4 linked regions of the Pelodiscus sinensis genome follow. The main gene of each other region encodes a partner of the protein of the gene in region 3 in a complex. Links are inferred from orthologs where the notes say so. Each region holds a gene or a part of one and is shown on either strand. Other genes may lie near its edges.

The links.
Region 1: the proteins of HRAS (region 3) and RASA1 are in contact, whole or in part, in a crystal structure (PDB 8BOS), measured with the Homo sapiens proteins. The link is inferred for Pelodiscus sinensis from reciprocal best matches to the Homo sapiens genes HRAS and RASA1. Residues at the interface, in NP_001123914.1 of Homo sapiens: Gly12, Gly13, Ser17, Ile21, Gln25, Asp30, Glu31, Tyr32, Asp33, Pro34, Thr35, Ile36, Glu37, Asp38, Ser39, Tyr40, Arg41, Gln61, Glu62, Glu63, Tyr64, Ala66, Met67, Lys88, Lys117; in NP_002881.1 of Homo sapiens: Gly746, Arg749, Glu783, Thr785, Thr786, Arg789, Ala790, Thr791, Glu799, Lys803, Ser833, Arg894, Gly898, Phe901, Leu902, Arg903, Cys906, Pro907, Leu910, Asn911, Met914, Arg928, Ile931, Ala934, Lys935, Gln938, Asn939, Asn942, Val944, Ala948.
Region 2: the proteins of HRAS (region 3) and MAPKAP1 are in contact, whole or in part, in a crystal structure (PDB 7VV8), measured with the Homo sapiens proteins. The link is inferred for Pelodiscus sinensis from reciprocal best matches to the Homo sapiens genes HRAS and MAPKAP1. Residues at the interface, in NP_001123914.1 of Homo sapiens: Gln25, Asp33, Ile36, Glu37, Asp38, Ser39, Tyr40, Arg41, Leu56, Glu63, Tyr64, Met67; in NP_001006618.1 of Homo sapiens: Glu277, Ser278, Phe280, Ala286, His287, Gly288, Phe289, Ser290, Leu291, Ile292, Gln293, Arg311, Arg312, Lys313.
Region 4: the proteins of HRAS (region 3) and PLCE1 are in contact, whole or in part, in a crystal structure (PDB 2C5L), measured with the Homo sapiens proteins. The link is inferred for Pelodiscus sinensis from reciprocal best matches to the Homo sapiens genes HRAS and PLCE1. Residues at the interface, in NP_001123914.1 of Homo sapiens: Ile24, Gln25, His27, Val29, Glu31, Asp33, Ile36, Glu37, Asp38, Ser39, Tyr40, Arg41, Glu63, Tyr64; in NP_057425.3 of Homo sapiens: Phe2138, Pro2146, Glu2147, Gln2148, Pro2149, Arg2150, Thr2151, Val2152, Ile2153, Lys2154, Lys2171, Tyr2174, Ser2175.

What each region holds. Positions count from the first base shown.
Region 1 is NC_134716.1:76,468,553-76,475,838, forward strand, and holds the start of RASA1 (ras GTPase-activating protein 1), read right to left. Parts: upstream 3,001-7,286; 5' UTR 2,900-3,000; coding exon 2,145-2,899; intron 1-2,144. UniProt on the Homo sapiens protein: Inhibitory regulator of the Ras-cyclic AMP pathway. Stimulates the GTPase of normal but not oncogenic Ras p21; this stimulation may be further increased in the presence of NCK1.
Region 2 is NC_134732.1:25,319,218-25,326,398, forward strand, and holds the start of MAPKAP1 (target of rapamycin complex 2 subunit MAPKAP1), read right to left. Parts: upstream 3,005-7,181; 5' UTR 2,849-3,004; intron 2,570-2,848; exon of another isoform or gene 2,470-2,569; intron 2,275-2,469; exon of another isoform or gene 1,569-2,274; intron 1-1,568. UniProt on the Homo sapiens protein: Component of the mechanistic target of rapamycin complex 2 (mTORC2), which transduces signals from growth factors to pathways involved in proliferation, cytoskeletal organization, lipogenesis and anabolic output.
Region 3 is NC_134714.1:121,452,211-121,459,403, reverse strand, and holds the start of HRAS (GTPase HRas), read right to left. Parts: upstream 3,020-7,193; 5' UTR 2,948-3,019; intron 2,900-2,947; exon of another isoform or gene 2,537-2,899; intron 1-2,536. UniProt on the Homo sapiens protein: Involved in the activation of Ras protein signal transduction. Ras proteins bind GDP/GTP and possess intrinsic GTPase activity.
Region 4 is NC_134718.1:41,466,627-41,474,550, forward strand, and holds the start of PLCE1 (1-phosphatidylinositol 4,5-bisphosphate phosphodiesterase epsilon-1), read right to left. Parts: upstream 3,009-7,924; 5' UTR 2,994-3,008; coding exon 2,704-2,993; intron 1-2,703. UniProt on the Homo sapiens protein: The production of the second messenger molecules diacylglycerol (DAG) and inositol 1,4,5-trisphosphate (IP3) is mediated by activated phosphatidylinositol-specific phospholipase C enzymes.

The sequences.
Region 1 (7,286 bases), on a different chromosome or scaffold from region 3:
TTTGTGACCAGGACTGTCTCACTATGTGCTTTTACAGTTCCTAGAACAATGAGATCCTGATGTTTAGGAACTGTTACAATAAAGTCATTAAATAGATACATACATATTTACATCCATCCATCACTGAAAAGACTGATAAAATTAAATTGTGTGAAAAATATGGTTTATATTAAACTCTACACCCTCCTTCTTATATAATAGTTATGCCTGTGTACTTATGCAAAAATCATCCTGAATCCTGGAAAAAGAAAGACACTAGAACTCATGAGGTTTAACTAGTAATAGCTCAGATATTAAAAGATGTCAAAAAAAAAACTGTCAAGACAACATTAGAACATTCTTGGATAAACATTACTAGCAACAATCTGTAATGTAAATTCATAGCTATTTTTACGCCTTATAGCCCTAATTTATCTGAAATATAAAACTTCATTTTAACTTAGTTAATGCTTGATTTCTAAATACCAACTTAAAACACAATTTTGTTTCTGGGACAATAATCAGACACACTTGAGTGCAATTTTCTTTCCTACCATAAACCTTGAAACTGTATTATGTAAACCCTTACACACCTTACTAGTGTTATTAGTGCATCTCAACTTCTCGTATCTATATTTATCAGTAATTGTACACACAAATGCTGCACAGCATCAGCTCTATAATATATATAAAATACAACAATTGTCCTGCATAACAGCTTTAAGTTTTCCTGTAATACTATCAACAAGGGAATGCTTATTAAGTTAATGGAAAGACAATCATAAAGAAACCTTACTGTAAAACACCTACCAATGCTTTGACTCAATTCCCATTAATTTTCACACAATCCAACTGAACACAAACACCTTTAAAATCAGCTGTACACCATGCTATTAAATTCATTGTTTATGGAAATTAAATAGCATTAAAATTATTGGGTAAGACATTTTATCAATTTTTTTAAAGTACAATCTATAAAATGTTATTCCACGCAGTACGCATATGAAAGCTTTAAGTTTCAGAAAGTCTAAAGACGGCTTAATTTTCCTACCAAGAATCATAAAAATCATATCTATATTTGACAATAGCTACTTACTATTATGTTTTGGAAGAGTATGAAAATGGATAACGATGTCAAAAATTGATAAAGTTTCCAAAGGGAAAATTTAATAATCTGAGCTTTCCACTCCTTTTGTGACACTATTTACCATGTGAAAATCCACAGTAGTAAGTACTGAAAACCCAAAAAACTAAATTAGATAGGTAGTGTTTAAGTCTGACTGTTTTCTCTAAATCCCTGAAGGATTTCTTTGTTCATTTTAAACATGGGACTATAAAAATAAAAGATTTTATGTTTTTATGGTTCTGTGGTACTTGGAGGAAATGGAAACTGCAAGGCACACAAGGGACCCTCGAAGAGTACACATACATACACCGATCAGTAATATATGACTCAGCAGTAGGTGACAGACAAGACACACACTAGCATCCAGTATTCCCTGTAAACCGAGCTCTTGGGGGGCAACACAGGAAAGATTCATGTGCCACCCAACTGATTAGCAGAGTACTCACAGCTGGCAGCATGTTTTTCTACTGGTGATGCACAACTGCACATAAAGTTTATTCTGCACACAGATGGAACACATTAGAGGGAATACTGCAGGCATTTAATGCTGCTTGGAGCCCAGTAGCGTTTCAAATTTTCCAGTGCCCTGGTTGTCTCTAAGCCTCGGATTGTCAAATACTGGGACTGGACAGAGGGGATGGATTGCTACAACTGTCCTATTCTCTTCATTCCCTCTTGAAGCATCTGACACTGGACCCGATATGGCCATTCTTATGTGCGTTAGTCCATGCAAGTCAAGCGCACGCTGTTGCAATTGGTGGCTCTGCTGTCCAGTCTGAGGATCCACCCCAGACGGAAACACAGACCAAGGAGCCCTCAGTGCCAATACTTCAGCACTTTCCATGCAAGCAACTGAGTCTATTTAAATGGGATCTCGGGGGCGGGGGCAAACCTTTCAGGGCCTGGCCGGAGTTTGACACACACTTTCCACCGGGCAAAGGGGAGGGACGGGAGCTAGAGTCGCCACCGAGCCGGCTGCCGCCCCCCACGGAGGGGCAGCAAAGCAGGGCGGCCGGGAGCAGAGGGGGCTGCTACTCACTGGTTAGTCGGGGGCGCGTTGAGCGGGATGGCCACCTCCTCCTCTTCGTACTCCGGCCCGTCCAGCGAGTCGCCTTCATCCACGGTGCCCAGCCCCCCGACCAGCGGCAGCGGCGGGGGCGGCAGCGGCGGGAAGCCCCCAGCGGGCGGCCCGCCTGTTGAGCCGGGTTCCTGCGGGGCAAGCGCCCCCCGAGGCATCTCCTGCCCCTGCCCGGCGGCCACTGCGGCGCCTCCGCCCGCCGGAGGGGCAGGCCCCAGGACCAGGAGTCCCAGCGCCGGGCACAAAGGGGGGCCGCTGCCGCCCGGGCTGCCCCCGCCGGAGCCCTGCGGCCCCTTGCCCCGGCACAGGGCAGGGCAGTGCCCCGGCTCCCCGGCGGCGCTCGCCGAGCCGCCCTCCTCGCCTCCGGCCTCGGCCGCCATCATGGTGAGCCTCGCCCCCTCCGCACGCCGGGGAGGAGGCGACCGAGGGGCCGAGACCCCCCGCCCCGCCCCAGCGGGGAGCGGAGCCGGGACCGGGACGAGCGAACTTCCCCGGCGGCGGCCGCGAACAATACCCGGCTGGGCGGGGGCTGGATTCAGGGCAGCGCGGCAGGGCCCCGGAGCGGCTGCCTCATCGCCCTGCGGCCGGGAGGGGAGCGGCTCCCGCGGAGACTCACCCCGCCCGCCCGCAGCGAGCGCAGCTTCGGCACGGGCAGGGGCCAGGCTGGGCTGGGGGAGGCAGGGGAACTGGCGAGCGGCTCCCGCCACAGTGCGCATGCGCCCGGGGACCGCCCGCCGCGAGGAGGGGGTTGGCTGAGCCCGCGCGCGCTCCCGCGGTTCCTGCCGCCGGCTCTGACTCAGGGAGCGGCCGGGCTCAGAGCTGGGTTCACCTGGAGCTTTGCAAGGGCCGCGCGTGGGTGGGAAAGGAAGAGCTGAAGCTACCAAGAATATGAGCACAGGGGCGGGTTGCAGTGTCAAAGAAGAGAGCAAGCCCAGCGCACCGCCCACACCCTGACTGTTCCCAACCCACCAATTTACAGTGCCTAAATAAAGAACGTTTGGCGCCAGGCCGATTGCATCTCACACCGGTACTGCGATCTTTCCCCCCAACCCCCTCGCCATAGCACTTCAGAACAACTGGCTGGGGTCCTGTTGGATTCACTTGCCAGATGTATGTTTTTGCAGCGCCTTTGCACTAGCATACCCTGCGATCCCGATTAGTCTCTTGAACTAAGAAAAGCTGCAGATGCATCAAGCAAAACTGGGGGCATTCAAACCATAAACAGATGTAGCCCAAATCCTGAAATCCAGGGAGAGGTTTTTTTGTACTGCTTTTTTTGTTCTAGGACGTGGGGTACAGATTTTGTTAGATTGTGTTGTTTGATCTATTTTATTTGTGAACTAGTAGAATCAACACACTTGTCTTGTTTTGATGGTATTCTGAGTTTGTGGGTTAAATTTAACTGAACCTGATAGGAATCAGGAATCTTTTTTTCTAATGCTTTTAAAGCAGGGGAGGAGCACTGCACTTTCCATTTCTATGCTGTTATGTCCACACTTGTGCCTCTGACCCACACTCAGTACTTACCAGAAGTACTTACAAGTGACCTGGCTTGGTGATGCAGAACCTATTATCCAGAGAAAATAACTTACATTTCTTACAGATACTGACTCATATGGCTTATAGACTTTAAGGTCAGAAGGGACCATTATGATAATCTAGTCTGACCCCCTGCACAGTGCAGGCCACAGAATCTCACCCACCCCTCTTAGAATAATCCTCTCACCTATGTCTCAAATATTGAAGCCTTCAAATACTTTGAAGGCCCCAATATGCAGAGAATCCTCCAGCTGTGATCTGTGCCCCATGCTACAGAGGAAGGCGAAAAACCTCCAGGGTCTCTGCCAATCTACCCTGGAGGAAAATTCCTTCCCGACCCCAAATATGGCGATCAGCTAAACCCTGAGCATGTGGGCAAGACTCACCAGCCAGACACCCAGAAAGTTCTCTATAGTAACTTATCATAGTGTCATATTACAATCCTTCCCCTTGGGGGCCTGAGCTCAGGACAGGGGATGGTGGTGGTACCACACCACCTGTAGGAAATGTAAGTGTGGGATGGAGTGCAGGAGGCTCAGGTCAGAGGGTTGACATGTGGGAGGTGCAGGAGTCATAGTTGGGGTGAATGAGGGGCTCAGGGCACAAGATTAGGGAATGGAAGTGCAGAAATCAGGGCAGAAAGCTGGCAGGGAGGGAGGTTCGGTGCAGGGGCTGGGATGTGTGTGTGTGTAGGCTCAGTGATGAGGCAGTCCCCACTGGTGACTGTGCACTATGCTGCTCCTGTTCCCAGCCAAATTGGAGCAGTGTTGGGCATCGGAAGGAGATAAGGCTGAGTAGAGTGCTGAAGCTCCCCTGGGATCCTGGCCCAGCACCTGGAGTCCAGGCCACTTGGTGTGTCTCCCCCTACCACTGGTCCTGTCACCCTCACCAGGGGATTTCCAGGCCGCTGGCCCTGCACCCCTCTCACTAGGGGCACTCTAGCCACCGGCCCTGCTGCCAAGCAGCTCTCTGATCTCTGCTGTCCCCCTCCTGGGGGCTCTTCTGGCTTCTAGCCCCAGGGTCCCTGCTGCCAGCTTCAACTTTGGGTGTGGGGGGGAGGGGAGAAAAGGATTAAGGCCCAACCCTCCGCTCAACACTTTCTTACTGGCACGCTGCACTAGAGCACATCTGCTTACTTTCACCTCTGCCTACTATATGTGTACATAGGTTTGGTGGATGGGGATCCAAAGTCATATACCTAAGCTAATGCAGTGCTTGTTGTGCACCAATATGAGAAGAGGGAGTGAGGTTCGAACTCACAAGCCAGCCTCACTTAACATTGGAAATGATCTTTTTTTTTTAATGAAATGTAATTTGTTTTGTAAACCTATCCATATGTGAAAGTATATCTCTTGCTGCTAAAGATTTACCTCTTGTTATTGAAAGCCCTCCAGCGGTAGGTAAGTGATAGCGGAAGCAGGTATAGGATACAACTGGAACCATCTAGCCACAAACATGCACATAGATGGCCTCGATGTGATGATCATCTGTCTGCTGAAAAGGAACAGCAGCAGCTCCCATACCCTGCCTAGGTGACAAAGCAACCCTATTTAGGGACAGAGCTGCTTTCTTCAAAAGAAGAGGGGGAGAGAAAACAATTCCTAACCACAGCTTGTTCCAGTGGATTCCTGTCGGTTAGCCAGGACCGAATGATATCCAATTTTGCAATCACAGGAGAAAATCAATGACTAAACAGACACTACACTTTGCCTCATGGAATATATGCATACTTCTTGACAGTGATGATCACCATGAACACAGGACAGCAATCATTGGTAGAGAGCTTGTACATTATAACATCGATGTCACAGCCTTAAGCAAAATACATCTTGTATCAGCCAGTTCACAGAGGTTGAAAAGATTCCTCAGTGAGCTAATGATTCACAGCTGGTTATACCTCCAACTCTTGATGAGGTACAGAAAGCTGTCAAGCAGATGAAATCTGGAAAAGCACCCGGCAGTGATGTGCTCCCATCAGAGATTTATAAAGCTGGTAGAGGCCTGCTGATGCCATCTCACCCATTTATTTATCACTATTTGGCAGAAAGAGCAAGGCCCCCAGGACTTCAAAGATGCCTTGATTGTACAAATATACAAGAGAAAAGGTGACCGTGCCTGCTGTGATATCCTCCAGGGCATCTCACTGCTGTCTATAGATGTTATGATCCTGGCCCGCATCCTCTACAACCATCTGTCATTACATGTGTTCACAAATGGCATTATTCCTGAAAGTCAGTGTGGATATTGTGCCAGTCAAGGCACTGCCAACATGATATTCACAGTCAAGCAGATCTAAGAAGACAGCAACATCATAATCTCTTAGTGATTTTCATTTACCTGACCAAGGCGTTTGACATGGCCAACACAAATGGATTTTGAAAGGTACTTGGGCAAATTGGCTGTCCTGAAAAATTTGTCAGTATAATTTGGTCCTTTTATGATGTTATGCTGGGTCATATCCTTAATAATGGATAGACATCAGCACCTTTTGAAATATAACATGGCACAAAGCAAGGATCTTGCTCCTCTCCTTCCCAGCTCCTCTCCTTCCCAGCATCCTTGCTCCTCTCCTTCCCAGCATCTACTTTTTGATTATGCTATTAGTTGCTTTCAAGGATTGCACGTTGGGCATACCTATGCAGTTCCTAACTGACAGAAGCATGTTCAGCTTTGAAAGACTTCAGGCACCAAAGATACCAAAGTGTTCAATTCAACTATCTGTGACCTTCTTTCTGATGACTGTGGATTGTTGGCTCATCCAGTGGAGAACTCACAGGAGATTTTGATCCTTTTGTTACTTCTGCTCACCATTTTGGACTCACTGTGAGACTCCAAAAGATTGAGATTATGTCTCAGTGTCTCTTCAGAAAGAGCCCAGCCCTCCTACGATCACTGCTGCTGATACTGTCCTTAGGTTGTTGACAAGTTTTGTTAGCCTGGAAGCATACCATTCTCCAGCATTAATGCTGCTGCTGATGTATCTGTTCAACTAGCCAAAACCAGCGCTGCCTTCAGAAGATTGACCAACTGATTATGGAATGGCCATGGTGTTAAAATTCATACAAAGGTAACAGTTTATCAGGCAGTTGTCCTGAACTTCCTGATGTATGGCTCAGAGTCATAGATCATACATAGCTATCACATTTTGAAACTTGATCAATTTCTTATGCGCAGTTTCAGGAAGATTGTCCATGTGAATTGGTGGGACGAAATTCCTAACACAGAGGTCCTTAAGCTGTGTGGTGCCATGGGCTGCATTGCTGAGGTTATGAGGATGGATGATACATACATACCAAAAATAATCTTCTACGGCCAGCTTGTTCACGGAAAGTGCTCTATTGGTGGTCAATATAAGCATTATAAAGGCCAACATGAAGTCATGTGGCATATCTCCCAATGACCTAGAAATCATAGCTCAGGAAGATTGTTCTGGTAGCAAACTATTGTACAGGGTCTCAAACACTTCGAGAATCAATGTATCCAGACATTACAAGAAAAGTGTAGGATCCAAAAAGAGTGTATAATGCCCTCAGATGGTGGATTTTTATGTGACATCTGTAATCG
Region 2 (7,181 bases), on a different chromosome or scaffold from region 3:
TAAAATAATGGGGACAGTTTTAATTACAACCAATGTAGTTATTTTAGTTCCAGCCTGTGTATTGACTAGAGATGTTAAACATTCATCGATTACAGGTTTATAAAAATAAATGTGTAATTGCTGAATTTTTTAGCTGTTACTAGTATACATGTGGGGGCAGGCAGGCGTCGCTTTTTAAACCGGCTCCCACATGCTCCCCCTTGCTCCTCACCCCACCCCCACTGCCTCTGTTAGAGGGGCAGCAGCATGGGTGACCGGTGGCTCCCTGGGAGACAGTACACACAGGCAGCTGACTTGAAAGAAGGCTTCCCGCATATACCAGTTCCCATGTGCCACCTCCCACTCCCAGCACTGCTGCCTCTCTATCATCGTTCCCAAGAGGATGGAGAAAGGCTGTTTCACAGTAGGGACGGAGCAATAGTCTCAAGTTACAGTGGGGGAGGTCTAGGTTGGATATTAGGAAGAAATTATTTCACTAGGAGGGCAGTGAAGTACTGGGATGGGTTACCTAGGGAGGTGGTGGAATCTCCATCCCTAGAGGTTTTTAAGTCTCGGCTTGACAAAACCCTGGCAGGGTTGATTTAGTTGGGATTGGTCCTGCCTTGGGCAGGGAGTTGGACTTGATGACCTCCTGAGATCTCTTCCAGCTCTATGATTCTATGAGAGGCAGGCAGGTCTGAGGGAGCTGGTGCTTATGCGGAGCCAGCTTTTAAGCCAGGTCCCACGAAGCACTGCCTCCCACCTTCCTCTCTGCGCTGCTGCCTCTCTGGGCAGCGGGGGGAGGCGGTTCTGCAGGAGCCAGCTCCTTACGGGAAGTGGCTCTCGCCCTCCACCCTGCCCCCACTGTCTCTGATACAGAGGCACCACTGGGGGACTGCAGGTAACTGTTAGGATTAACCAATGAGCCCAGCCTTATTGGTTAATCATGTAAACGAGTACACACTAACATCCTTAGTATTGACAGGACCTAAATAAAAGGTGAGCTAAACTGAAAATAGTCTACTTGACAACTGTCTGTAAACTAAACCACATGATGAACCATTTGGGGCATCCAGGCCTATAATATTCCTGGCCAAGATGACAACCAATTAGTGCTTATTTTAATAAGATTAATTTCAAACCTTATCTTCGTCTTAATAGAAAATATACCACACCCTCTCCCATACTGAAATTCCCACAGTACGTGAGCACTGCAGTTTTCTGGCAACCCCTTCTCATGGGTGTCAGAAAACAAGGCAAGGGACCAGCAAATACACAGAGTATCATCACTTTTAATGGTTACACTGCAAGCACCCTGAACTGCCAGGGTAACATCTTAGAGGGGGTTGGGTGATCCAAATCAAAGTAGCTCACACAACAGGATATGTTAATACGAGAGTGCAATAGCAGAACCCAATGGAATACATTACAGTATTATCCCAGGATATCAGGTCCATTGTACTTCCTTATGGGAATCAGAAACTCAGTATCTAAACCAGGGATGGGCAAATACCAGCCCACCGGCTGGATCCAGTCTGTCAGAGTCAGCACCTGGCGGGCTCCCACACCGCTGTAACCGCCATATTTACCTGCACAGATATGGAGGAGCACCGCATCTGTTGGCCGCCGATCACCGTTCCCAACTAATGGGAATCATGACCCCCCCCCCATACCTGTGAAAGTGAGGTAAATACAGTGTCAGCGGCTCAAAGGGGGCTAATGCTGCGGAAATGCTGCTATTTTATTGTCCACACCTGATCTAAACCAAAGCCTGCCAACAGTTTCTCAAGTTCTATAATGCACCCGAGTCCTTTTTTTCAATCATGTCCCACCAAATCTTCACAAATTTTCCCCTTTCAAATCACTTCTTAGAAGCCCACTGGATCTACACTGTTTATCCCAACTATAGCTTACTGTCCATTTACTCTACTTATTTGTGCCATTACCATGAAATCTTGCAAAAGGATTGGCGAGCATTAAGTAGGCTTTATAAACTATAACGCGACACATCCATAAAGCTCTCTAAATAGACCACACTAATTGCATATGTACAGGATTCTGATATGTGGACATAAGTCTCTCAAAAACCCTAAAGGCAGAATAACGGTTTCTTGCATTTAGTAAGACTTTTAGGCAGAGCACATGTACGATTCTACAGAAGAATCTCTAAGTCACAGGAGCTGACGCCCCATTGTCACCCACACAATGTTATGAGTTAGCAACAGAACTGTGCCCTAACAGGCATGCTAAGGGTTCTAGTAGTTACCGCCTTTCGGCAACAACACGTGGTTCGAACAAAAGACAGGACTATGCAGCACTTTAAAGACTAACAAGATGGTTTATTAGGTGATGAGCTTTCGTGGGCCAGACCCACTATTTGCTCTGAGGAAGTGGGTCTGGCCCACGAAAGCTCCTCACCTAATAAACCATCTTGTGAGTCTTTGAAGTGCTGCCCAGTCCTGCCTTGTGTCTCAGCTGCACCAGACTAACCCGGCTGCATCTCGATCGCTATTCGGCACGAGGCTCGCTGCGCTACGTCTCGCAGCTCTGTCGGTCGGCAGCGAGCGGCTGTTTGTGGCTCGGTCTCAGCCTCACGCCCGGGCCGGGCGGCCACGTGCCATCCCCGCTCACGGGCCGCCGGCGCGAGGAGGCGGAAGCGGCGGTTGGTGCCAACTCCCTGTGGGCGGGCGGGCGGGGGGGGGGGGGGGGGGGGGGGGCTCAGCGCTGCTCGCCGGGAACAGGCCCCCGGGGCTTCCCTCCGCGCCTCGGCCTGGCGGGGGGGCGGGCTCCTGGTCCGGCCAGGGGCGACCCCGCTCTGCCCAGCGTGAGGGGCCGGGCGCGCGGCGCGGCGGGGCCCGTCCCCACTTACAGGCCTGGCGGGCGCTGCCCTCCTGCGGGGCCGGGGCCGTTTCCTGCCCCACCGGCGGGGCCGCTTCCGGGGCCGCAGAAGGCTCTGCCGACGCCAGCTAGCGGTATGGCCCCCGCTAACCCGGAAACACAACCTCCGAGCGGAAGTGACGGAGACAGCAAAGCCGGGGCCAAACGCCGTTGGCCTCGGGGGGGGGGGGTAGACGTTGCACTCTGCGCATGCGCGCGGAACGTGGCCGCGCCGCGCCCCCGCCCTGGCCAAGGCGCCTCGTTCGGGTGCCTCAGACCGCGGAGCGATGCGCGGGGGCCACTCGGCCAACGAGTAACTAGCCGCCGCGCAGGCCCCGCCCCCTCCGCGCGTAACGGAAAACAGCGGGGCGGCCTGCGGCTCTCGAGGCCAACGGCTGCGGCGTCAGGTCCCGCGCGAGCACAGGGCCCCGCCCCCCCCGCCGGCCCGGCGCTCCGGACTGGTGGGGGCCAGGGCCCAGCCCGCACTGAGCAGCCCCGGCTCACGCCCCCCCCTCTGAGGAGACGGGGCGGGGGGGGGGACTGGCTTTTAAGCTGCCCCAGCCCCTGCTGCCCCGCCCCCTTTGCTGCCTCTGTTGCGGAGGCAGCAAGGTGGGAAGCGAGCAGTCGAATAGTGACCCAGCTGTCCAGTAAGCCAGGCTCACCGGGGAGTTGGCTACTAGCCAGGGTGCACAAGAGCGGCCGTACTGGGTCAGACCACAGGGCCATCTAGCCTCACCCCTTGTCACTTACATCCCTGCGCAGGACTACTGGTTTCTCTGTAATTGCTTAGTGAAATTCCGTTGTAGAACAATGGCTACTTTTTAAATCGATGAATGAGTGACCTGGCAAGTTAAAATGTTCCCCTACAGGTTAAGTGTGTTGCCATTTCTGAGGTATGATTTGTGTCCATTTATCCTTTGTCATAGAGACTGACCAGTTTGGCCAATATAAGAGGTATGACATAAGAAAGACCCAACAAATGCAGCCAAGAAAATAGTGTAATTAAGATAAATTTGCATCCCAGATTTCTCATACTGGGTTATTTCAATATGGCTATGTCTATACTGCGCCTGTTTTGTGCAAGAAATATGCAAATGAGGCTGTCTAGAATATTGCTGAGCCTCATTTGCATAATTTACAAGGCTCCATTTTTGCACAAGAGGTTTTTGCGCAAGAGCCATTCTTCCTCATTTTTTCAGGAAGAACGGCTCTTCTGCAAAAGCCCCTTGTGCAAAAATGGAGCCTTGTTAATTATGCAAATGAGGCTCAGCAATATTTTATACAGCCTCATTTGCATATTTCTTGCACAAAACAGGCACAGTATAGACATAGCCTACCTGTTTCTCGGGGACACAAGTTGCTAACCTACAGTAGACCAGGGATTTACTTGGTTCAGTACTTTGCCTCCAAACAATGACCAGGATCAGATGTTTCAAGGGGAAAGGTATTCTTAATAATGGAGATTGCCTATCTCCTAGAACTGGAAGGGACCTTGAAAGGTCATTGAGTCCAGTCCCCTGCCTTCACAGCAGGACCAAGTACCACCCCTGACAAATTTTTGCCCAAATCCCTAAATGGCCTCTACAAGGATTGAACTCACAACCCTGGGTTTAGCAGGCCAATGTAGAATTCATGCTGGGGTTTTCTATAGTGCTCGTCACTGTAATTGGTCACTATTTCCCATGTAAATTATGCATGCACTTAGTTAACTTTCTGTTGATACACTTTGGTTGTTCCTTTCTGCCACACATTAATCTTGGTCATTGTAGCAAAACTTATAAAAGAGGATGGTTTTGCAATGTGTCCCAAACATGGTCAGACTCTCTAAAGGAGAGCAGGCCAATCTGAACTCATTTTATACCCTTTAGTCTCTGGCTTTCATGTGCTTCATTTTGTGCTTTGTGGGATCTGTTGTTTCAGAGAAGTGCAGACAGCTACCCCTTGTATAGCCTAAAAAGGGCAGAACAAGTGAAAACACAACTTGCACAGACAATATTTTTGGGGGGGCTGGTATTGGTTCATCAACTGAAATAAGCTGTACCAGCAAACAGATTACTATAGAACTTGAGTTCTTGAACACCTTGGGAATGGAAGTTATTCCTAACTCTGAAAAAAACATTTATGGTTCTTTCAAAGTTTTACAATTGAAATTGACTTATTACAGCTTTTATTTTTTACTATGCAGTGGCCCGCTGACCAATTCCTCCCTTCACTTTCCTGTGAACAGCTGATTTGCAGTTTAAGATGAGCTGGGAGGGCAAGGGAGGAGCAAGAAACCAGGTGCACTCAGGGGGGAAGGTGGAGTGGAGCCCGGAAGAGGTGGGGCAGGGATATGGGCAAAGGAGTGGGACTGGGAGCAGGGCCTGAAGCACAGGGGAGATCTAGCACCGCCTGGCTAGAAGGGATGTCAGCACCTTTGGGTGGTTTCACACTCCTAATCAATATAGTTCTACCTACAACATTTTTAAGTGTAGCCCAGGCATGATGGTATAATGAATGAATGATATATTTGATGATCAAGCTGGTCCTGAATATTTGATAGCTTTATTAGGACAATTATCTTCAATTGGCAATAAAACTGTACAAGGAGTTAGTATGGGGATCAATGCACAGGACACAATGAGTTCAAGGAGACCCACCCCAAAGAGGTGCTGGATTTTTATGTGCTATATGAGTTAGAACCTCTGTACATCTTCAATGCACATAATTGTACAGTGAATTACAGCCTTTTCTCCATGACTTGGTGCAGACGAGTTTTAAATGTCCCGAGTGGCAGCTTTCATCACTTTCTTTGAGAAACTATTCCACAAGTGATAACTACTTAAGTCGTGCCTGCCAGCCTTTAACTGGAAGAAATGGACATTGCTGGGAATAATTTGCTTTTCGGTGCGATCCATTTTGACAGACCTAAGTGCACACAAGCCATACAATACAGCCTATTGTGTCTCATTGATTCTATGTACAGAATGCAATCTCCTCCAAAAGGTGGACATTGGCACTGCAGTTTATGGGTCAGTTTGCACTGAGTGCCAATGCTCACATTAGTTGCTATTATCATTATTAGCTGCTAATAATAATAATATTAAGCATGTTCAAAAATCAGATTCCTGGTATATTTTGTGAAATGCAATGTCCATGAATGTGTAATTTACAGTGTCTCAAAGGTATACTGTACTGCAGTACAGAGAATCACTATCATAAATAAAGGGAGACATGGATAAATTTATAATTAAAAATGCACTAGCTATTACAAGGATAATTTATTTACTAATGTGCACTGGAATATATTTTGTGTAATATTTTAAAAGTGACAATAAATAATAGTAAAATGTTATGGCATCTAAAATTATTTTAATAAATATTAGAATTAATTATGCTACACTAACTGCTGCAAAATTCAAATAAAATTATTTAAATAGGAAAACCAAGTTGAAAAATATCACAAACGGTATCTAATAGTTTCAAACACAGGAAAAATATAATACAAATAATAAAGGCTATTCATCTGATAGATCTTCTTTCAGATTAATTTGTAGGTTTCTGAAAAGAGACTTGGGTTCTATTCCCATCTTTACTAACCTGTGTGGCCTGATGTAAATACCTGTTGATTTTTAATAACCCTGCCATACATACAGTTTCTCTATAGTTTACGGGGCAAGCAGATTACATTATGAATCCACTTTTATTCCTCTTCTAACTTTGACTAATTTTCATCTAAATTTTCACAATACAACCAGCAATTTGCAGGCCAAAAGCCAGTTTATCTAGCCCAACAGTTTGAGTTATAGGTCACCTCAAATATAATGAGCTATTGTTCCTTCAAACTTTCTACCTATGTAACTGTAACTGAAAAACACTAATTGTAATTACTATAGTTTGTACACGAATAGTTGGCACATATTGTTTATTTGTACTACCATAGCAGCCATGTTCACTAGTCATTGATCACAACCTTGTTATGATTGGTGCTGAACAAACACAATAAAAGGCAATCCTAGCCCCCAAGAGCTTACAATCAAAACAGAAAACGAGACAACAGAGGGATAAAAACATATGGGGAATAAAAGCATATTATTAATTATGACCGACTGGTTTCAGACTGCCGATGGTGTAACTGCTGTCCATTTTTGCAGGCGTCATGGTGAAGGTGAGTTTCTGGAGATCAATGCGGTAGCTTTGTGGATGTTTGCAGGGAGATTCTTGTAAGTGTGAGGGGCAGCACTGTCAAAGGCACAAAGGTGCTTGTTTGAAAATGTAACAAGTGGACAATGGAGGCTGGTGTCAGTGGGCAAGGTGGGAGTTGGCATTTTGACAATGAATGAGAA
Region 3 (7,193 bases):
GTTGGGGGCCCACAGGGGTATTTTGTTCTGCTTCTCACTTGTGTGCGACCTTCCTACTGATTTCTCTCTGGGTCAGTGGCCCCTGACTCAAAAAAGGCTCCCCACCCCTGGTCTAGATGATCTAGTGTTCCCTTCTGGCCTTAAACTCTATGACCTCATCTGCTGCAACCACTGCATTTAAACAAGTGCAATGCATCTATGCTGGGATGGGATTGTTGAAGCAGTACAACATCCCTGGCTAAAATCCCAGTGTAGACAAGCTCTTACAGATATAAAAGATCTGCATCGCATCTCCAACCCCTGGAGCCAGCCAGCCCTCCTCTTTGCATAATTTTCTTGCACATTTAGGCTATGATTTTCAAAGGAGGCTAAAGCTCTCTTAACAACTACTTAGTTACACCATGGCAGACCCTTTGTGGACACACTTCTACCAATTTAGAATAGGTTACATCAATTTAGCTCACCTGTAAAATTTACCAACACAAGCAAAATTCATTTATAATAAGCTCAGCCCAATACAAGGAATGTCCTATCCTTCCAACTCAAGTGTTCGCACCTTTTTCAGTCAGTTTAAAAGCACCCCTGCGGTTAAACTGGAACAACTGAGTGCAGGCCAGGTCCAAGAGAGTTTCGCACCTAATTCAAAGGCTTCTTTGAAAATCTCAGCATCATTACCCCCTAGTGTGCGCCCCACAGTGATGTACTGTATAAATGCTGTGCAAGGCATTTCAAGAGCTAACCATCAGCCATTCGGAGTTTGCTAATCCCCACTCAGACTTCCATATGGCTTTCCCTCCCAACTGCAGAGACAGGAAGCCTCACCCTGAGGCTATAGAAGGTTCTGAAGAGTTTCCCCTGACATTATTCCCAAGTGACATATCATGGGGAGTTATGTCCATCCCTCCTCTTCCTGTGGGTGGCCATGGCATAACACTTGAGGCTAGAAAGCAAGACACACCCTAGAAGGATCCTTGAAAGATTTCTTTCTCCTGTCCCACCCCCCAAAAAAACCCAGCATTCTGTTTTAACCCCTGCCTTTTAAAGGACTGCAGGACCTCCTCTGGAATGAAAGACAGACAGAGGAGTTATTATTACTGCAGCAATTCAATGGCACAGGACTTGAAAGAACAGTGACCACCCAGGCTCTGCTATTAGAAGTCTTGCTGTGCTATCAGCATAGACCACTCCCTAAGCTGCTGCCGACAGTGATATCACTGCAGGCATCAGTAGAGAGATACCCAGGGATCTGGGAGGGATGAAAAACGAGCGAGGCAGGGGAAAAAATAGGGAAAGGAAACGTGACAGCAGGCTGTTGCCTTCTCCTGGAGGATGCAGGGCCCCTCCCATGTATTTCCCCATGTTTTCTGGATTGGCAGGAAGTGTTTACAGAAAGCACAGTCATTGTAAGACTGGGAGGGCAGGACAGCAGGTGATTCTCCCCCTCCCTTCCTTTCCCGTTTGGAAACCCTGCCAGATTTTGGCAACCAGAAAGGAAGCTAAGAAGAAAGCACACAAGTCATCAGCAACCCTAAGATCTCAGGGCGACTGGCTCCCTGGTGCAAAAGGTGCAGAGGGATGTGGAATGCCACAGCTACTAGAGGGCCATTGGGCTGGGACATACAGGAGGAGACATTTCTACCATTACCAGATGACACACATTAGTTAACATGACTGCCACGATACTAGTGCACAAGCTTTTAAATCTGGAGGTATGAGAACCGCCCCTGTGGCCTCCCAAGCAAGCTGCTGGGGCCTGATTTGCAGGAAACAAAAGGGTCTGAAAATCAAGGGGAAGCTTCGGGCGGATGTAGGGAGTACACATTTGTAAATACTCAGAGAAATATAGGAAGAAAAATGCAGTCCCCCCCCCACACACACACAAACTCTAACAGGTGGCTCTCCGTCTCCCCTCACTACCTTCTTCCAGCGGGGTGCAGCGTCCGACACATCCAAGGCCAAAGCTGCTCTTTCACCCCAGCTCAGATCCCTTCCCAGACACACCCACTGTTGTCTTGCTTTTCCCTTCACAGACGTGACCCCTCCCCTGGCGGCTGCCCCCTCTCACAAGCACAGCCGTGAACACACGTCTCACCCCATGCAAGTGCTCGCTCGCCACCCACCTGGCAGGCACCCCACCCTCCCAACACACACACTTTTAAAACAGGCAGCCGCTTTCCCATTGCGGAGAGGGGCGGTTTGCCCTTCCCAGCTCACTTTGGAGCCTCCTAGTACAGCTGGTGCAGGATCAAGCGAGCGACCCGCCGAGCCGCCGCCGCCGCCTGCTCAGGCAAAGCCAGCTCTGCAATGCTGGACTGCAGCCGCCAGCCCTTACGGCGCACACATGCTCCCGGGCACACGCTGCCCAGGCCACTGCAATGCCGCCCTCAGCACTCCCGGGGGGTGGCGGGGGAGGGAAGGGGGCCGAGAGACACTTCCTCCTCCCCCCGCGCCCAGCGCCACCGCCCCTGCCCGCACTTCGGCAGCCCACCCGCCAACCCCGCTGCCCCGCCAAGCGGAGGAGACGGGGGGCACTTACCAGCGCGCCCGCCCAGGCTGCTTTCCTTGCGAGACAGAGAGCCGGGGGAGGGGGCAAATCCTCAGTGCGGGGGGGCGGCTTCTGCGGGAGCGGCGCACACAAAGTTTGGAGGGAAAAGGCAAAAACAAAACAAAAATCCCCCCTCCCGGCCAGATCCTGCTTCCCTCCCGGCGGCGGGTCAGCGGCGCGCCGGGCCCAGCAGCAGGCGAACTTTCCACCGGGGTGGTGGAGAAGCCCCCGGCTGGCAGCGCCCTCCCCGCATTGGCACCGAGCACTGGGGCGCTCGCGGGCTGCAGCGGCGGCGGCGGCTCGGACAATGTGTGTGTGTGTGTGCACCAGGGGCGAGCCCCGGCAGCGGCAGCGGCGAGCGGCACACGCCCAGGCTCCGCTCCCCGCCCAGCCGTCACTCACCGCCTCCCGCCGCCGCTGATAGGCCGCTCCGGGCCCCGGGGAGCGGAGCCACCCTCCTGGTGGGCTGCGGGCCGCGTCAGTCACCGAGGCGAACGGCGCCTCCTTTCTCCTCCGCCCCCTGCTGCCGCCTCGGCCGGGGCACGGGGCGGGTTATGGGGAAGCTGCGGCAGCGGGCGGGGAATTGCTCCTCGGCTTTTATTTTTAGCGCCTCGTTGCCAGCCCGTGGAGTCCAGCGACGCGGGGAGGTACCGATGCTTTATAACCTGGTGCAACAGGGACTTGTTCCGCCAAGGGTGAGTTGTAATCACCCCCGACGCATCAGAGGCCGAGGAGCACACAAATGGTCCAGCTGGACACACCTAGGCAAACGTTGTTTAAGAATGAGTTTTGATCTCCCACCTCTTCTCGCCCACTCCTTAAAGGAAACAGATATGGGGGGCCATATCCTCACCCCTCAAGCAACCTCATTGACTTCAGTGGAGCTGTGCTGATTTACCCCAGGGCTGGCTTTAGCGTGGTTGGGACCAAGGCATCCTTCCTTCTGTCCTTCCCTTTTCTTCAACTTGAATGGAGTGCTGGGGAAAGGTGCTGGCTTGTTGGAAGACCCTGGAGAATGGAGTTTTGTTTAGCCACAGAACATGAAGGGCCTGGGCATTTAGAAATAGGTAGGGTCCTACCAAATTCAAAATCACAACCATGAAAAATATGTCGCAGACTATAAAGTCTGGTTCCCCCCCCATGAAATCTGGTCTCTTCTGTGCTTTTATCTTATACTATGCAAATCTCACGGTGCAGATTAGATAGGGGTCCTGATACAAAGGAAGCTGCTGAGAGGTCACAACGTTATTTTCGAGGCATTGTGGTTTTGCCACTCTTAACTTCCATGCTGCCTGCAGAGCTGAGTGGCCAGAGTGTTGGGTGGCTGCTGGCTGGGTGACCAGCTTTGGAAGCAGCGCCTTGCCAGCAGCTGCACTGAAGTAAGGTTCGCAATACCATACCATGTCACTCATACATCTGCATTGCGGCCTTCAGAGCTGGGTGGCCAGAGAGTGGTGGCTACTGACCCATGGCTCAATTCTGCAGGCAGTAGTGCAGAAGCAAGAGTGGCAATGTCATGCCATCTTTCTGCATTGCTGCTGGTGCAGCTCTTCCTTCAGACCTGGGCTCCTGGCCAGCAGCTGCCACTCTGCAGCTACCCAGCTCTGTGCAGAAGTAAAAGTAGCAGTTCTGTGACCCTACCCCCAGTGCCTTAATGAGTTAGAACCCCAACAATTATAGCACCATGAAATTTCATATTGTAAATTTCGTTATATCAGATATTTAGATTGCTTAAACCTTATGACCATGAAGTTGACCAAAATGGACCACAACTAGGGTAGGGCCCTAACAAGAGAGTTGTTCTGTTCCCAAATCAGGACACTCCTGGGCATCTCCCATCATAATAAAAGGTATACACGTAAAACACTGCAGCGGTGCTTCAGTGAAGCTGTTCCATACTGTTGCAGATTTACGGGCGCGAGCTCCTACTCTCTGGCAGGAGGGCGGGGCCCTGCGAGCCCACCACCTCAGTTTACCCACGTAAGACGGGCTTAAGGGCATGAGCCGGCAGGAGCGTGGGGCCCAGCAAGCCCACCGTCTTAAAGGTCAGGGGGAGGGGAAATCCCTGAGGTCTCTCAGCCCCTAAGTCCTGCCCCCTCTTGGGGCTCAGTAATGACAGTCTGTCCACTAGGCCAATTGGCTGGCAGTACTCAATGCGCAATTAGAATGCAGTGTGGGGGGAGGAGGGGATTTAGGGGGACCCAGGCCCTCCCTCTCCACAGGGTCCCAGCCCGGGGCCCTAAGGGTTCAGCGTGTTTGACCCCTACCCAGCTGACAGGGTTCCACCCTGAAGCGCGCCGCCCACGGGCGCCTAAAGCACTCTGCCCCAGGCTGCTTCCTATCCCCCTCCTGAGTACCGACCCCCCCTGGGTTCATCCAAGGGGCTTACCTGTCCAGCGGCTTCTCTGGCACTTTGGTCTCTGCACCGAGCTTCCGGGGGATGCAGGCCGCTCCTCCACTGGGGTGGCAGACTTTGCTCCCAGCGCGGCGACAGGTGCCTCCAACTTTGTGCACCGCCCCGCTGCCCTCTTCTCCAGGACTTTTCAAGTGGCCCGCCGCTGGCCGCCAACAGATGCTGCTCTGCCCCTTCAACGTCCCGCTGCTCTGGGGCACCGCGGGTTTGTATTGGGGCCCCGCCCCCGCACACCATGGCCCTCTGCCATCCGCGCAGCTCCGGCAGCTGCTGGCTGCTGCTTCCTGGCATCGTGTCGCCCCACCCTCTTGCTGATAGAGTGGGCAGAGTCTTGTTGGTCCTAGTGTGGGCCTCGGCGGGCCCATCACACGCACCAAAAGGAGAGCCATAATGCTGTCTACACCAGGGACTGGGACCATATAACTCTCGCTCAGGGGTATGGATTTTTCATGACCTGCTTATACAGCTGTGACTGCATAGTGTAGACCTGGTCACAATTAGACTGCCAACCAGGGGGCCTTCATGGCAGTTTCTATGACTGAACACTGATCCACTAGGGAAGTTTAAAAGTGGGTAATTGGGTAACTGTGTAACTGATGAAAATCTCAGAGGTTAGAGTTATACACATCTGCAGCGTGGGGTGGCAGCTGAATCCCTGGGATGAAAGCTTATGAACCAAGTAGAAGGGGATGGCTTTGCATCAAGTGTAAGCTGCTGGGAAGCAGATGGATTCTCTAGGAACAAAGCACTGGAGTGAGTTGCTCTGTGAAAGGGGCTGCGAGGCAGATGAAGGTAGAAGAAAGTGGCCCTGGGAAGCAGCAGTTGCTAAGCTGTTTCAAACTGTGCCTGGGCTAGAACCCAGAGGATAGCAGGGGGTTCTCCCTTACCAGCTACATTGATTGTTTTAGGTAGCAGAACATTATTGCTCATTTCCATGATTCCATCCTGTGACTACCGCATGTTCATTTGGTCCCTTCTCGTAGTGTGCATAGGCATCTTCTGTGCAACTGAAATCGAGGCATCTGCAAGGGTCGGGGACGGAAGAAAAGGTCCGTGCAGTTTCTTGCCTCACATGGTTTCAGGATTTGGTTCTCCAGAGGGTGAGGAGAAAACTGGTCTCTCTGGTGAAAATGCCAGACTCCCCAATACCATTTTGCTGCTTCTCTTCCCAGATAACGTAGGCTCCTGGAATCCAGCTCGCCTGCAGATGCATCAGAGTTAATAATCATGGGTACCTTTAGCACATTTAGAAGACTGCGGCCACACCATTGGCAAGGCTCTCCCCAAAGCTTAAGGGTCACTTGCAGAGTGGCAAAAAGTGAACTAATAAGAAATAAAGTTTGAGAATGTGTTTTGTTTTCTTTAGAGAACACAGAATGCTTCCTGTTTCCCTCTGACATACATAATTTGCCATGACAACCAGCTTATGAAACAGAAAAGTATTGAGCATAAGGTGCTTGGTTGCTATGGTGAGGAGAGAAGCTGAGACCTTTTCCTCTTTGTTCATTGGTGGCCGTGCATCATCTAAGCAGGAGGGTCCAAGTCAATAAAAGTCCTTGTTAGGCTTGTAAGGCAGCAGGTTTGCATTGCATTATCTGGCAACATGGATCAAAACTGAAACACAGTCATTAGGAGGAATTAAGGAAATACGTGCCAGAACAGGGCTGGTTTCTTAGAAATACAGAGCCAAATTCAGTTCTAGTGTAAGCCAGTGTAACGCCTGCTGATGTCATTGGAAGTTGCATTTGCTTACACCAGGACTGAATTTGATTGCCATCTTTATCAACTTTCATATTTAGAAACTTCTTTTCCAAAGTGTGTCCAATGGGGAAAGCTCCTCTCCATAGATCTGAGAGGTGGGGCTGGCCATAGAGTTCTTGTTGCCTCAAGGTAGACTAGGCAGGCTTTAGTTATTCTATCATCTCACCCTGTCAGCAAGTATTGGGACTTTCTTTGAAAATACGGATTGCTCATGACTCATTGTGGAAAGTGCAGCTCATTAAGTCCACTCTGGGAAGTGAGAGTGGGCACAGAAAACTGGTTCGGGATAGAAAGAGGGGAAGGGGAACCCCAGAAACATCCTCAGATGTATTGGGTGGAGTGTAAGGCTGAATTTTGTTATGTTATTTAAACAATTAGCAAAATCGGTCTAGGAAAAGGGGAAATTTTGGACACTAAGTTAAGTACAGGTAGTCCCACTGCTCACATGCTTGAAGTTATTTGCAGTGTTGTAAC
Region 4 (7,924 bases), on a different chromosome or scaffold from region 3:
ACAGGGAGGAGGAAATGCTAGTAGGTGACTGAACCATTTTCAAATAAAGTAAATGCCAAGCTAAAAATTGTTTACTCCATAATTCATGTTTAATACATTGTCATTTTCCAGTGAATCCTTGTCAATTATTTTTTTATAAAAACATAAATAGTTGCCTGGAAATTCAAGGTTAAAGTTCCATTTTATAGAGTCCTAAGCACTCTGATATTTGAAAATACACTGTTAAGATCACACAACCAACCTTAATTCTGCTCCAGAAGCATGACTCTGGGAATTAACAGGAACCCAGAAACAGCCTTATCTACTATGTAACACTGATGAGAGAAGTATATGAACCTAAGCAGAATTAGAATGGAATCCCTTTTGTAGGTTCATCACATTAATGACCAAAATAACTGGAAGACTCTACTCTTAATTGTGCAGAGCTTCTGTTGATTCCAGTGTTCTTTACTATTGTACAGTTGTCCCACAAAATGTATTTTACATTCCTTGGCTTTATAAATAGACAACCGAGAACAATCAATTACCACTGAACACAAAGATGCAACGTTCAGTCAATTGTACAAGTATCATTAATACAAGTGTCATTAAACACCAAGGGTATGTCTACACTGCTATCCTAGTTCGAACTAGGGTGGCTAATGTAGGCATTCGAAGTTTCAAATGAAGCCCACGAGGAGTAACGGTAGTTCAAATTAGAGAGCCTAATTCGAACTACCTACTCTGTGCCGCGTGTAGCCGCGGGCACGGAGTCTGCACTAACGGGGATTTAAAAATGGCGGTGCCTGGCAAGATGCAAATGAAGCCCGGGATATTTAAATCCCGGGCTTCATTTGCAACTTCGAATGCCTACATTAGCCACTCTAGTTCAAACTAGGGTGGCAGTGTAGACATACCCAAGCTATTTTATATATAGAAATCTTGTAGGCTAAGAACACAAATTTCATGAGGAGAAACGGTAGTTCGAATTAGGATCTTTAATTCCAACTACCTACTCCATGCCGCGTGTAGCCGTGGGCACGGAGTTCGGACTAAGGGGGATTTTAAAATGGCGGCACCCAGGAACATGCAAACGAAGCCCAGGATATTTAAATCCCGGGCTTCATTTGCAACTCCGCTTGCCCTAATTACCCTACCTAGCTTGAACTAATGAGCTAGTGTAGACATACCCCAATTTAGCTATTAAAATACATTATTTATGTAAATTCCAGTATGAAGTTGTTTTGTTATTTGATTGCCTCTTTGTTTTTACTACTGCATAGTTATACCAAGGAACGTGTCAATATCTGAGCCCTATTCTTAAGGTCACCAAGTTTTATCATAGGATTCCAAGCCTACCGGGGTGCTAGAACAATCTGTATAATCAGGACGCTGAGAGTCATTGATCCTCCCAAACTACTTCAAGCTGGGGATGCGGCAGCACACCCTCCCACCCTTCCCCACACTAGTTCCAGCACTTTTGCAGCCTACATGATGTTAGCACAATTAGTAAGCTTCCTGTCTAAAGTTAAACTGTACTAGAAGACTCTACTACAGCGTGACCCCATTGATATAGCAATGAAAATGAGAATCAGTCGTCACTACCTACTTCACTTTTAATATTTTTATCACAATATTTAAAATGATAGGTAACACGATTCCTTATTAACCAAAGCAAATTGTCTGAGCCAAGTCAAAAGTAGTGTTCATAGTTTAAATTCCTGAAATACAGTACTTTAAGAGGTTAGCCAAGTATATTGAACATAAACACAATTTTCAAGTTTTATTCAATGAGTTTAACTACAACAAAAAGCAATGAAAAGGAAATAATGCTTGCACTTTGATTAACTAACAGGCAGCTAAGTGCCATTATGTTTTTAATGTTACAAGTATATATTGGAAGATATAAACAGAAACCTGTTTTCAGCATACAAAAAGAAATACTTAATAACCCAGCATAGGTCCTGATGCTGTTCTTATTAAAGTCTCATCTACTGACAACACTGAGTGCAGGATCAGTCCCATTATTTGTGCTTTTACTTTTTATATATAATTTGATTGAATACAGACATAAGCACATTCCACGTATTCACTTTATGGATTTTATGCATTTTCCAATGAACACCATGCATCTATTACAAAACTCCTATTGCTTTATTAACTAACATTTACTTCTAAATATCAGTAAAATGTTTGCTGAGGTTTTTTCAATGTTGACATCATGAACGGTGGCTAAGTGCAAGAATTTTCTTTACCAAAACAAAACAAAAAAGTCAAGACAAGGCAAGTTGAGCAATTACACTGTTCATATATTTAGAATGAAACACTCTAGGAACCAGTAACATAAGCAGTCAGAATTTCATCACAGTTTTATCACTTTATTAAATACTGCAAGATTCTTTAAAGTGAATTGACCAGCAACAAGCTAGGAAACCTATAGACAATTGTGTGTGCACAATTTTAATTAGAAAGAGTTAATGCAGACATTATGAGAGTATTATTTTTTTTATCTGCAGGGATTAGTAAACAGTGACTAAAAAATAGAAGCATGTCAAAGTGAAAAATGCATTGATATAAAATGCTGCAACATTGCTTTCTACTGTCTACACAAGAAAGGTCCTCCTGCATTTCATAAAATAAGAAAAACTTTTTGGTATTAGATACTATATAAACGGTACCTTTTTCTGTTGTAGTCCACAGCATCCATATCATACCAACTTGTACTAAAAACAACGCAATAGAATGGAAACTGGAATAAAACAAACATCCAAAACAAGCAAATAGCATTCGGCTATACAAGATGACAGTCTGTTCTCGTCTACAGAGGCTATGCCTAAGAGCCTGCAGAGAAAAGGAGTGCAGTGCCAAATCTTAATCCCTTTGCAGAATTTCACATGGTGCTGCCTCACCTCTTTAGTTTCTGTGAAACCTATTGCTCTTATCACCCAGTTTAATTCATTATTTAAAAAAACACACACAAAGAAAATCTGGAATATATCATACTGCTGAAACATACTGCAACTTGCATGTTTGCTAATGTTTACATTTCTGCAAATTAAATGATGTATTGTTAAATTTATTTGAAAGCACTGTTTCAGACTTATGGTATTACATGCATTCTTGCAAAGTAAAATTTTTTGAAGAGATTTAGCATTTAAACTATTTTTGCTGATTTCAACTAGTAATTCTTTACTAGTCCAGAATATGAAGTCACTGATACACTGCAAACTGATAACTCCAAACAAGAGAGAGAGAGAGATTTCCCCAAAATTAGGAACTGTTAAATAAGCTGTTAAACACTGTTGAACATTTTCAGAAGAATTATCCTGTACACATTATGGGTCAAATTCTACTGTCAGAACTGTATCACAAAGGCATGATTTCAGTTGATTACTGGAAATACAGTCTCCCTGTGCACTTCCATGCTGCAGGCTGCCCTGCTAATAACAACAGATATCCTTTTCTACTGACCCTCCATAATGGTATTTCAGATCTACAAAGGGGAACACTGTTTAGGGAGAAAGCGGATACTTCACAAACAATTACTCAAAATCTATACTTTTAATGGGGGAACAAGAAATCCTATGTACAACTCTAGAGGCATATAGGGTTCACAGAGTAGCCTCATATGGTCAAGGTAGAATTCCTCCAGTGCAGGAGTTGTCATAAAAGCACCATGCAGCAACCTCCTGCAGCTCCTAACATAGGAGGAAGATAAATAGGAGTACAGGGCATCCCCACTATAAGTCACCCCCGGTATACATCAGTTCCATACTAAAGTCATTGACATTTGTAGGAACTGATGCACTATTAGTCCTCTCATTCCCCGCTATAAGTCATGTGAAACACTCCCCCCAATTTGCTTAAATGGAAGTCAGCAGTGGGAAAAAAATTCCCCACTTTAAATTGTTTCACTATAAGTCCACGTTTTTTGGAACGTATCTTGGACTTACAGTGAGGACAGTCTGTATATAATGCTAATCTCTACAAGGGGTAGGGCTGAGGCAAAGCCTTTAGGCATGCCTGGCAAGGCTGACATCAGTGAAAGTAAACCTGCGGACTGCTCCAGGTTACATGGGGGAACATACCATTCCTTAAAACAGCCCAGAATAGGAAGGCTGAAAAGGTAATTTACACCTCTCCCCTCCCCCCCCTTTTTTTCCCTGTGCTGTCTCTCCCAAGAAGTGCATACGGACATACCAAAATCTCTTTGAGACTCTTTACCATCTGGAAAAGATCACATTACAACAAACCTTCAAAGGAATAACCTGGGCTCTGCAGTTACTTCAGTTGTGCATTTACTAACAAAATGTAGGGAGAGTTATGCAAAAGTTAACTGCCTACATCAGAAGTGACTAAGCCCAGTTACAGTACAAGCAGCACCAGCAGACAGGCTTTCTGAACCATTCACATATCCATGCAACTGCTTTTACATGGGTTGTATGTAAAAGCACACTGTGGGTGTAAAAAAAGGAAAAGTGGCCCTGTTTTGTTTTAAAGAGAGCTTGGTCTGAAGGAAACAAAGTTGTTAATATGCTGAAGCAGGAAAAAAAGAGGAGGTTATTCACCTCCTGTAATTGACATTCTTCGAGATGAGCTTCCCTGGGGGTGCTCCACAGAAGGTGTTGAGCATCTTAGCACCTCTGGATGGAGTTTTGCCTAGTAGTGCATCAGGGGGTCGCGCATGCGCACACGTGGCCCCCTTCCCTCCTCAGTCCCTTCTCTATCCAGAACCCGGAGAAGGAGTGTTATTTACGTGTTTGCAGTTTTTCTTTTTTTCTTTTTTTTGAGTTTCCAAAGTAGAGGGGAGGAAGGGAGGGTAGTGGAGCACCCCTGGGGCATTCATCTTGAAGAATGTCAGTTACAGAAGGTGAGTAACCTCCTCTTCTTTTTCAAGGGTGCTCCACAGAAGGCGACTACAAGCAATCCATGTTAAGGAGGTAGGGACTTCAGATCTGGTAAGCATGCTGTCTGCAGGACACCTTTTGCTAGTCTAGTATGTAGTAGAGGACCTGAAGCAAACGAATAACGCTTTGCAAAGATGTGATCCGAGGACCATGTTGCCACTGCGCAAATGTCCTCCAGTGGAACTTTCCTCAGGTATGCTACCGAGGTTGCAACTGCTTTTATAGCGTGCGCCCAGATTGAAGCAGGTGGAGGTAAGTTATTAAGCAAATATTATGTGGTGATGCATTCCGATATCCATTGGGATAGTCTCTGTGATCTTTTCTTCCCCATGGTACGGTTCACAATGGAAACAAACAGCTGTGGGGAAGATCTGAACGGCTTTGTCCTGTCTATGTAGAAGGAGAGAGCTCTTTTGACATCCAGAGTGTACATCTGTGCTTCAAAGGCATTGGCATGAGGCTTTGGGAAAAACACAGGTAAGTGTATTGTCTGGTTGATGTGAAAAGCTGTACAGATCTTAGGTAAGAATTTGGGGTGCAGATGCATAGACACTCTTTCTTTGAGAAAGATGGTAAAGGATGGATCGGACATGAGCACGGCCAGTTCACTTACTCTCAGTGCTGAGGTAACTGCCACTAGGAAAGCCGTTTTCAGCATTAAGTGGCACAAGGCACATGTGGCCATAGGTTCAAAGAGCGGTTTTGTTAGTGCTCTTAATACTAGATGACGGTCCCATGGTTCTTGTGGGGGTAACACATCAGGGCATAAGGCTTGTAGACCCTTCAGAAAGCGTTTGGTTGTGGGGTGCGCAAATAAAGTGGCGTCATCCACTGGTGCATGGAATGTAGTTATTGCTGCTAAGTGCACTCTAATTGAGGCTAACGAGAGGTGAGACTGTTTTAGGTGCAATAAGTATTCCAGAATTACAGGGAGTGGGGAGATTTGCAGCAATATGTTGCGCTTGCTGGCCCAATGTGTAAAACAGGTCCATTTACTGATGTATGTTTTCCTTGTTGCAGGAGCTCTGCTGTGCAGGAGGACCTCACGGACTTGCTGAGAACAGTGGAGCTCTATGCTAGTGAACTATTGAGATGCCACACTTTCAACTGAAGCATGAGGAGTTGAGGGTGAAGTGTCCTGATTTGTGGGTGATGGAAAATGTGTGGGACTTGCAGTAGCGTGATTGGATGGCTTTGTGTCATCCTGAGTAATAGGGGAAACCAAGGTTGGCATTGCCAACATGGGGCTATAAGGATGATCTTTGCTTTGTCCCTCCATATCTTTATAATGACTCTGTTTAGGAGGAGAAATGGGGAAAATGCATATAGCAGGTGTGCACTCCATGTTAGAATCAAAGCGTCCCCTAAGGACTGTTTCCCTATGCCTGCTCAGGAGCAATACATCATGCATTTTCTGTTGGTTCTGGTGGCAAACAGATCTATGTAGGGGAAACCCCATTGATTGAATATTTTCTTCAGGATTGTCTGGTCCAGCTCCCATTCATGTTCCTGGGGAAGGGCTTTGCTTAGGGCACCTGCTGTCGTATTGAGTGTGCCAGGCAGATGGAAAGCAGATACACAGATATCTCGCGCTAATGCCCAGTTCCAAAGGGCTATGGCTTCTTTGCACAGAGGCTGTACTCATGCTTCGCCTTGGCAGTTTATATTGACCATGCATGCCATATTGTCCGTGTAAATGCAGACGTGTATCCCTTTGACTTGAGGGAGCAATTTTTGGCATGCCAGGCAGATAGCTCCGAGTTCTAAAATATTGACATGTAGAGCACGCTCTGCAGCAGACTATAGGCCCTGAGCTATTCTTCCTTCCATGTGAGCGCCTCAGCCCGTGAGTGATGCATCTGTGTTGATGACTATTGTCAGTTCTGTGGATTGGAAGGGTATGCCTATGCTTAGGTTGGACGTTCTTGTCCACCACTTTAGAGATGCCTTGACTGAGCATGGAAGTGTTAGTCTTTTGGTCATTGAATGAATGTGTGATTTGTATTGGGTTCGGAGCCAATCCTGAAGACACCTCATAAAGAGTCGTGCGTTGGGCACCACTCGGTTGCAGGAAGTCTGAAATGACCACTTACATATACAAGTCACCTCCCCATATAGCAGGACAGGAAAAAAGAGGTTACCTTGTGCAGTAACTGGTGTTCTTCAAGATGGGCGTCCCTGTGGATGCTCCACTACAGGTGTTTTGGCGCCCCTGCACTTAAAGTCAGATATATTTAGCAGTGGTATCCCGAGTGCTGACACGCATGTGTGGTGCCATCTTGCTGCGTAGTGATGGGCCAGCGCACACACATCATCAACTGTCCCTCAGTTCCTTCTCTACCACAGAGAGATGTTAAAACTCCGAACCTAGTAAGAACTCTACCTGGTTCTTCATGCACCAATGCCACAGTGCTATGACTTCTTTGGATAGGTGGTATGATCTCGCACCTTCTTGACAGTTTATATAAAACATGCATGCACTGCTATCTGTGAGGATTCTTACTACTTTGTTGCAAATCAACAGGAGGAATGTTCACATGCTTGTCTGACCACTCAAAGCTCTAGTACATTGATGTATTGTGCTCTGTCTGTTAGGGACCATCATCCCTGGATACTGTGGTTTTCCACATGGAAACAGTAATTTATAGGAGGAAGATTTTTCATGGTACAATGACAGATAAATGTTTACCTCCTGTGGACTTCCAGTTAAGTTTCCAGATGCATGCCCCATCTTTCTAGAGAGGTGTCCATAGTAATTGTGACTGAAGGATGCCTCTGTTGGAATGGTACTCCCATACATAGGTTCTGAGGCTGTAAAAACCAATATAGTGACTGCTTTACCCTTTTGGGGACACTTAAGAGATGTCTGTAAATGGTGCTTGTGAGGTTTAAAGCATATGCACATCAATGTTTGAAGGCAGCACATGTGCAGCCTGCCTAGTCTAAAACATAAGTCATTGGGTGACATGTAGTCTAGAAGTTGAAGGCATTGCCTAGCTGATACAGTAGAATTGTTCATAATAGTTCGAGCCAAAGAT